2 linked regions of the Danio rerio genome follow. The protein of the gene in region 2 interacts with the protein of the main gene of each other region in a biochemical or structural test. Links are inferred from orthologs where the notes say so. Each region holds a gene or a part of one and is shown on either strand. Other genes may lie near its edges.

Evidence for each region.
Region 1: the proteins of pdgfra (region 2) and pdgfc form a complex in vitro, tested with the Homo sapiens proteins (2 studies listed by BioGRID and IntAct, with this or other methods). The link is inferred for Danio rerio from reciprocal best matches to the Homo sapiens genes PDGFRA and PDGFC.

What each region holds. Positions count from the first base shown.
Region 1 is NC_133189.1:40,275,130-40,279,749, forward strand, and holds the start of pdgfc (platelet-derived growth factor C), read right to left. Parts: upstream 2,847-4,620; 5' UTR 2,266-2,846; coding exon 2,154-2,265; intron 1-2,153. UniProt on the Homo sapiens protein: Growth factor that plays an essential role in the regulation of embryonic development, cell proliferation, cell migration, survival and chemotaxis. Potent mitogen and chemoattractant for cells of mesenchymal origin.
Region 2 is NC_133195.1:25,015,894-25,019,718, reverse strand, and holds part of pdgfra (platelet-derived growth factor receptor alpha precursor), read left to right. Parts: intron 1-1,528; coding exon 1,529-1,680; intron 1,681-3,825. UniProt on the Homo sapiens protein: Tyrosine-protein kinase that acts as a cell-surface receptor for PDGFA, PDGFB and PDGFC and plays an essential role in the regulation of embryonic development, cell proliferation, survival and chemotaxis.

The sequences.
Region 1 (4,620 bases), on a different chromosome or scaffold from region 2:
TTTTGCTTTATTTTTTATCATTCTCCTTTTTTTTTAAGTTCACCTGTGAGTTTTGGTGGGATTTAGAGGAAAGCAAATTACATGGCCCCAGGGCACCCCACACTTCATGAATGGGGTCTTTCTGTGATCAGAGAGAAATCCCTTCTCAGGGGACCCAGTTACCAGGAGCTTTATTTTTTCTCTTAAATACACATACAGATGTGCGTTTCGTGCACATGAAAGCCAAAGGTAACTTCAACTTCCTACTAAGCATAATGCTGTGTGAACCTCATAAATTGTGACCATTTATGGCAAGCTGTTTTAACATGTATTGCCCTACACTAATTAATACCTAGTTTTTGTTACATAGTTTTGTTACTACACTTGTTACTTTACTTATGCTAATAATATATTTGGGTAACACTTTATTTTGATGGTCCATTTGAGTATTAGTAGACTGTCTGCTTAATATCTGTTGATACTGCTCCTTCAACAGACATTTAACTGATTATAAGAAACTTTGCAAGTACATGTCAACTAACACTAACCATAACCCCAACCTAACAGTCTACTTATAATCTAATGAGAATAAGTTGCAATGTAAATGAAACTTAACAAACAGACAATCAAAATAAAGTGTGACCGATATTTTTGTGTTATTGCAAAAGTAGGTCCTAGTATATTTTTGGACACTACATTAAAAAAGATTTAGAAAAAGATTATTGGCAAAATGGAAACAAATGAAAACCCAAAACATTCAAGATAAAGAACTAATAGTCTAAATAAAAAAAAAATAAAAATAAATAATGAACTGAAATATTTAAAATTAATGAAAAATGCAGCTAATTTCATATTAAAAGAGTTGCACATATTGCATCAGATTACTTTTTATGGAGTCTTTCCCCCAACTGATGAGCTTTATAACCAATCACACACGTTTTTGTTCAATTCTAAAAACTGGAAATCAAAATAGGTTTTATATAATTATGTATTAACATAAATTAATCAACGCTGCTCATCATTACTAAAACATAACATTCAACAGTTTTTTTTTTTTAATCTTAGATAATTTTGCAGGCCTAGTCAGTAATACAAAAAGGGCTTTTAATGCAGTTTTATTTATAATATTTTATTGGTAACAGTACAGTGTCCTGATTAAAGTACTTTGTTACATTTAAGTATTGATATAAGACAACACCGCAACAATTATTAAGGTAATTATAACAAAAATGTCTAGAAAAAAAGTGTCTAGAAATATATATATTTCTAGATGTCCTAATGTTGCAAGTTAACACACATTTTTTCCCAACACATCCCATAATTTCTAAAATATCAGCCTCTACCAAATGGTTGATATGTTGGTTTATGGTACAGTAAATGTACTGAAACTAATACATATACTATAAAAAACTGAAAATATGAAGTGTAAGACTAATTTAAAAATAATCAAAATAAAACATTATTGAATACCAAATCATCTTAATTTTTCGAAGTATATGCCATAAAATATTCCAGATTCTCATTTAACACGTTTTTACTAAAAAAATAAAATCAAGAGTAGTAGTGCAACAGGATTATGTTTGTTTGATTCTTACTTAAAAGTCATTATTTAAAACAGTAAAAACATGGCCAACCGTTTGGTAGAGGGTCAAAGGGTTATTACAATAGTTAATTTCTGTTTATAATAGTTGTGTTTATTAAGCAACTATTACTAGTTTGCCTCAGTTTTACTAGTACTGACAATTAAAAAAAAGTTGATATTTCAATTTTAGTAGTGCGGCATAACAGACACTTGTATCTACTTAATAGTACACAAATGAGTAACATGTTTATATAGCTACAATTATCTTCAGTCAATATTTTAAAAAGTAATTCATAAGTAATAAATGTAAAAAAGGCTTGCCATTGCCATTCATTGCACATGAACTCAATGCAGCGCCATCAGAAGTCCCACAAAACTCAAGAGTACAAATATAGTGCTTGGTCTAAATGGGAGTCAAATATTGGTCAAATTTATATAGGTTATAATTAATTATACAGTGCTATAAAATAAATAGCAATAATGCATTTAAAGGAATATGTATAAAAGGGTTTGTTATGGCTATTCAAAAGTTAAAGCAGCAGCACCATGCAGAAGTCTCTGCGCGGATGAAGAAATGACTCTTTGAACTTACCGTTCTGTTCTTTCGTGCTGGCGTGGTGAATCTTACTGATGTGACTCGATTCCGCCACCGACTCATGTTGATGAAGAGACGATATAACAATCAACAGAAGCAACGGAATCATTTGGATAAATGGTGGCTGTCGGTGCACTTAGTATGCGTTGTTTCAATCACCATGCAGAAATATTGTTCGTGAGACGCGTATCCAACTTTGGACACATCTGTAAGGGGCACGCGTAAAGTAAAGTCCACATAATCCTGATCAGCCAGAGTTTCTGCAGCGAAAACTTCTAAAGTTTTCCGAGACGCGTCTGCGCAAAGTTAAGCATTAATAGTTGTTAGTGAGCGCACACCTGTTCGCCTAAACACAGGGACAGTTGGAGAAAACTAAAATCTGAGACGCGCAACATACATTTGTCTGTCTGTAAAGTGTTTCTCTCGCGAACTCAGATAGTCCACTCGCATTACGCAAAACATAGCGCCCGGCTCTGGGTAAATGCCACTTGTAGCGTCCAACTTAGTGAAGGAGATGAATGTGTTGAGGAGGCTCCAGGAGTTTGGCGAGCGCAGACGGCCGACTGGCGACACAACAGGTGCTGCGCATAAAGTAAAAGTTCCCCGCGGAGGAAACTCCCCGGAGAGGCGGGGACCATTCACAACTGCTGCTGGTGCTGCCGTCGCTTTGAGTCAAAGACTAGATTTCTCACATTTCCACCGCCACACAAGTTTATATGTTTCTCTCTCTCTCTCTGTGTGTGTGTGTGTGTGTCTGAGGGGGAGAAAGAGAGCGAGCATATGGATTAGTGACGTGAGACTCATTTCGTCAGTTTGTCGATCGATTAAGTTATTTAAAAGTAGGTCTACATAAAATGTAATGCATTCAGAAATCACTTCTAAGAAACATTTGAGTTTTATTATTTTAATATATATTTGTAGTTTTGATGAGCTCAGATAAATGTCACATTTTTGAGTCTGCATCAACATAAATGAGTTGATTTTATATAAATAAAAGCTTTTTAAATGTAAATGTTCAATGTTTTATAAATAACTGATAATAATTTATGAAAAATTCTAATTACTGAAATATAACATCAAAATATCTGTGAAAAGGGTCCCTTAATCAGTGTAACACATAACTATGTGTAAATGCCACAGCCATATCACCCTGCAACCCAAGACCGGTTAGTCACTGAAGCTAAACAGGGCTGAGCCTGGTCAGTACCTGGATGGGAGACCACTAGGGAACACTAGGTTGCTGTTGGAAGTGGTGTTAGTGAGGCCAGCAGGGGGCGCTCAACCTGTGGTCTGTGTGAGTCCTAATGCCCCAGTAAAAGTGAAGGGGACACTACACTGTCAGTGGGTGCTGTCTTTTGGATTCTCTGTGGTCATTAAAAATCCCATGGCACTTCTCGTGAAAGAGTAGGGGTGTAACCCCGGTGTCCTGGCCAAAGTCCCTCAACTGGTCCTTAAGATCATGGCCTCCCAATCATCCCCTTCCACCAAATTGGCTCTATCACTGTCTCTCCACTCCACCAATAGCTGGTGTGTGGTGAGCGCACTGGTGCCGTTGTCCTGTGGCTGCTGTCGCATCATCCAAGTGGATGCTGCACACTGGTGGTGGTGTGGAGAGACTCCCTCTCATGATTGTGAAGCGCTTTGGATGTATGGCCATACATGATAAATGCGCTATATAAATACACATTACATTACATTTACATTATAAATGAACTAGTACACTTAGCGAACCTATTAAATAATGTTAAATAATAAGTGAGAGTTTATGACATTAAACAAAATAAACCTGACACAATATTTTTGTACAATCATTCATTCATTCATTCATTCATTTTCTTTTCGGCTTAGTCCCTTCATTAATCAGGGGTCGCCACAGCGGAATGAACCACCACCTTATCCAGCATATTATGCAGCAGATGCCCTTCCAGCTGCAACCCACTACGGGGAAACATCCATACACACTCATTCACACACATACTACAAACAATTTAGCCTACCCAATTCACCTATACCATGTTTTTGGACTTGTGGGGAAAATTGGAGAAAATTAACATTATATGTTGGGCACCTAGGGTCTGCATTAACCGCAATTTCTATTCTCTGTATGTCCTGTGGCGAGGCAGTGGCGCAGTAGGTAGTGCTGTTGCCTCACAGCAAGAACGTCGCTGGGTCGCTGGTTCGAACCTCAGCTCAGTTGGCATTTCTGTGTGGAGTTTGCCTTCGGGTGGGTTTCCTCCGGGTGCTCCGGTTTCCCCCACAGTTCAAAGACATGCGGTACAGGTGAATTGGGTAGGCTAAATTGTCCATAGTGTATCAGTTTGTGTGAATGTGTGTGTGGATGTTTCCCAGAGATGGGTTGCAGCTGGAAGGGCATCCGCTGCGTAAAAACTTGCTGGATAAGTTTGCGGTTTGCTGGCGACCCCGGATTAATAAAGGGACTAAGCCGACAAGAAAATGAATGAAT
Region 2 (3,825 bases):
TTTTCTTTAGTAAGCTAAAACATTTGTGTTAAACATCTAATTTCTGTATGTTTTTTTTAATTCAGTAAAAAAAAAAAAAAGTGCATTTCTAGTCTGTTCCTACAATTTGGTCAACTTTGTTACATTGGTTTTTAAAAAAAGTGTTCAACCATTAAAGCAGAGAACCTTTGTACACCTTTAAACATTGTAACCTTTGATTTTGCTCGCCATCCCATCTGAGAAGAAAGGGAAGATTTTGGGGAGAATTGGGGTTAATGGTTTTAATATACATTATCATTTCCAATTTAATGAAATATAAGTTTGGTTATTTTGGCCCTTCATAAGAAAAGATTTGGGCACCCCATGCTTTAAAATGCTTATTACTTAAAAATCATGTGATTTGCTTCAAGTGATGCCACTTGATCTGGGGGGAAGCTCTGGAAAGCATTGAGATGTATTCTACTCTCAATCACTTGTACAAAATATCTACACTGTAAAACCCAACAGTCAACTTTATCAAATGAAATGAGTGTAGTTAACTCAAAATTTACTGAAAGTTAATTCTTCTCATTTGAAAAGAGTTTTGAACTCAGTGTTGAAGGTGATAAGCTAATTAAATACCTCATTACTTTAACTTAATTAAAGTAAGTTCACAGTACTCATATAGATTAGTTTTTTTAACTCAAATGGTCTGTAGCAATCGGTTTCCTTAAATGATTTGAGTTGCCTTAACTTACCAGGTTTTACAGAACTCAGTTGGTTTGTCTTATCTTAATTTATTGGGTTTTACTGTGCTCAAATTTCTTTATTTACTCAAATGCACAGGTGTCAAACTCAGTTCCAAAAGGGCCGCATCTCTGCACAGTTTAGTTCCAACCCTAATTAAACACACCTTTTCAAACTATAATTGAGTCCTTCAGGCTTGTTTGAAACCTACAGGTAAGTGTGTTGGAGCAGGGTTGGAACTAAACCCCTGCTCAAATGGATTAAGTTCATAGTACTCTTTAAGATTAACTTTTGAACTTAAATGCATTGTTGCAGTCGGTTTTATCAAGTGGTTTGAGTTTCCTTAACTTTTCGGGTTTTACAGTGTTTTAATTAGGAAACATCAACATTAGATATATAGATTAATTATTTGTCAACTCTGTTACTATAATAGTTCAGTGAATTACTAACACATTTTCTTAAAAGCTATAGCAATATGATGAAAATACATACAATTCAGGTTTAGACATGTGGTTAGTCCTGTGGTATCTGGTTTGAGGTTAAAACAGAGGTTAAAATGTTGGAAAAAGTCAACTCTGTTTGAGATTTTAACGATTTAACAACACTTAGTAACATATTTAAATGTATTTTATCACATTTAAGCATTATCTGCATTAATAATGCATTCACTTTAGTATTAATGATACATTTTTGTTCTTTATGTCATTCTAATTTAAAGGAAAATGAATAAAAATCATACTGTATGTTGTCATGACTTATTGTTCATGTCATTTATTATAGTGCAGCATTGCTCATGTTTTGGCCAATTTTGCTTGCATTAAAGCTACTGACGTTCCTGAGGTTGTAGACCAGAACTTCAGCATCCAGCTGAGCGCCAGTATGGAGGATTTGAAAGAGGGAGATTCAGTCAACCTCACCTGTGAGACTCCTGCTGGAATGGCTTTCCACCAGCAGTGGCTGCATCCCCAAAAACAGGCAGGAATTTCATTTGATTTATTTCTCTCTCTTTGCTTTCTGTTTTGTGGTTATCTATTAGAAGAAAAACAGGCTTATCTAAAAGTCCAGGACTGAAGATGTATGGTGTGATGCAGAGGTGATATTTCCTCAGTCCATCTTTAACAGTAGGAAGGAAATGCAAAAATGTGAGGCTACAGAAGTGAAGCTAGAAACCTCAAAGGAAAAGAGTGACACTAATTTACCATGTGCTTTGACCTGTGACCTGCCCGTCCTGTGAGTGTTGAAGACAGATGTGCGTTTCTCACCTCTGTGCTCTTGTGAATCCACATGTGTGACGGTCAGGAACATACAAATAGTTGAATCAACATTTTTGAGGAAATTTGCTTCCTTAAATGAAATATTGCTGGTAGTAAGTTGTAGTTAAGGATAGTGTAATATGTTTTTTGTTTATTTTTTTGTGTGTGTTTGATTATTGTGAGTTTCGAATACAGAAATGTGATTATTAGTTGTTGATGCTGAATGTAGTTGAAATGAAAATGAAAAGAGGTTAGTTAGTCAGTAAGTCTGTCAGGTAGATAATTAGTTACAGAGTTAGTTGGTTTTATTTGACAATATCCTGTTGTTTATTGTAAGTTTTAATCAAACAATGTTAGCTTTATTTTATTTGTTGTTTGTGTGTACAGTGATGTTAGCTCCAAACCAAGAGATGTATGTTTAAGTTAATGGAACTCTTGAATGTGTATAAAAATATATATTTAATTTATATATATATATATATATATATATATATATATATATATATATATATATATATATATATATATATTTGGTGTTTGGTTAAAATTACTTAAAAAACAAGCAGATAGTTTTGAGGTTATAATATGTTAGTTAGTTTTGGATCTATTTGGTGGTGAGCATGAGTTCAAAACGTATAAGATGGTTTAGGGGTGTATTTTTGTATTTGATGAATAAAGAGAGTCTCTAATAAATGAATAATATATAGTTAGTTAGTTAGTTAGTTAGTTAGTTAGTTAGTTAGTTAGTTAGTTAGTTAGTTAGTTAGTTAGTTAGTTAGTTAGTTAGTTAGTTAGTTGTTTGTTGGTAGTTGTAAATTTCAGACAAGTTGTATTTTTGTATGATAAACATGAGAACCAAATTTAAAGATGTTAGTTAGTTAGTTAGTTAGTTAGTTAGTTAGTTAGTTAGTTAGTTAGTTAGTTAGTTAGTTAGTTAGTTAGTTAGTTAGTTAGTTAGTTGTTTGTTGGTAGTTGTAAATTTCAGACAAGTTGTATTTTTGTATGATAAACATGAGAACCAAATTTAAAGATGTTAGTTAGTTAGTTAGTTAGTTAGTTAGTTGGTTAGTTAGTTAGTTAGTTAGTTAGTTAGCTAGCTAGCTAGTTAGTTAGTTAGTTAGTTAGTTAGTTAGTTAGTTAGTTAGTTAGTTAGTTAGTTAGTTAGTTAGTTAGTTATTTATAGGTCCAGTTTAAAATGTTTTGTTGTTATTTGTTGGTAATTGAAAATTCCAGACAAGTTAGCTAGTTTTTTTTTTTTTTTTTTTTTTTTGTATTTGATGAATGTGAAAACCAAATGTAAAGATGTTAAATGGTTGGTTACTTAGCTTAAGTTCTAAACATTTTGTTGTTATTTGTTGGTAATTGTAACTTTTAATCAAGTTTGCTTGATGGCTTTTTTGCATTTGATGAATGGAAATACTATATTAAAACTTAGTTGGTTGGTTGGTCGGTCGGTCAGTCAGTCAGTTAGTTAGTTTGTTAGTTAGTTGGCTAGTTATTTAGTTGTCATTTTTGTGTGTATTTGATAATGAATGTGAGTTCTGAATTAAAAGATGTTGGTTTATTAGGTTAGTTTGTTCCACGCCTCTGTTGTTGTTTGTTTAAGTGAATTTGTCAGAAGCATTATCTTTAAAAATGAGCCAACCTCTGTTTTTGAAAGCAGCGTGGAATTGTGTAGAGAGCTTCCAAGCCTGATCTGGAACAGAACTGAGCTGAGTTTGTTAGTGATGAGTTTGCTGCATTCAACTGTGATTATAGCCCTTAAAAGACTGGTGTAGAGCTGATTTATCTCCAGAAGACTGTACTGATACACAGGCACAGGCTAACCCTGGAATAAAACCTGCTACTTTGCAAAGAAAAGGGTGAC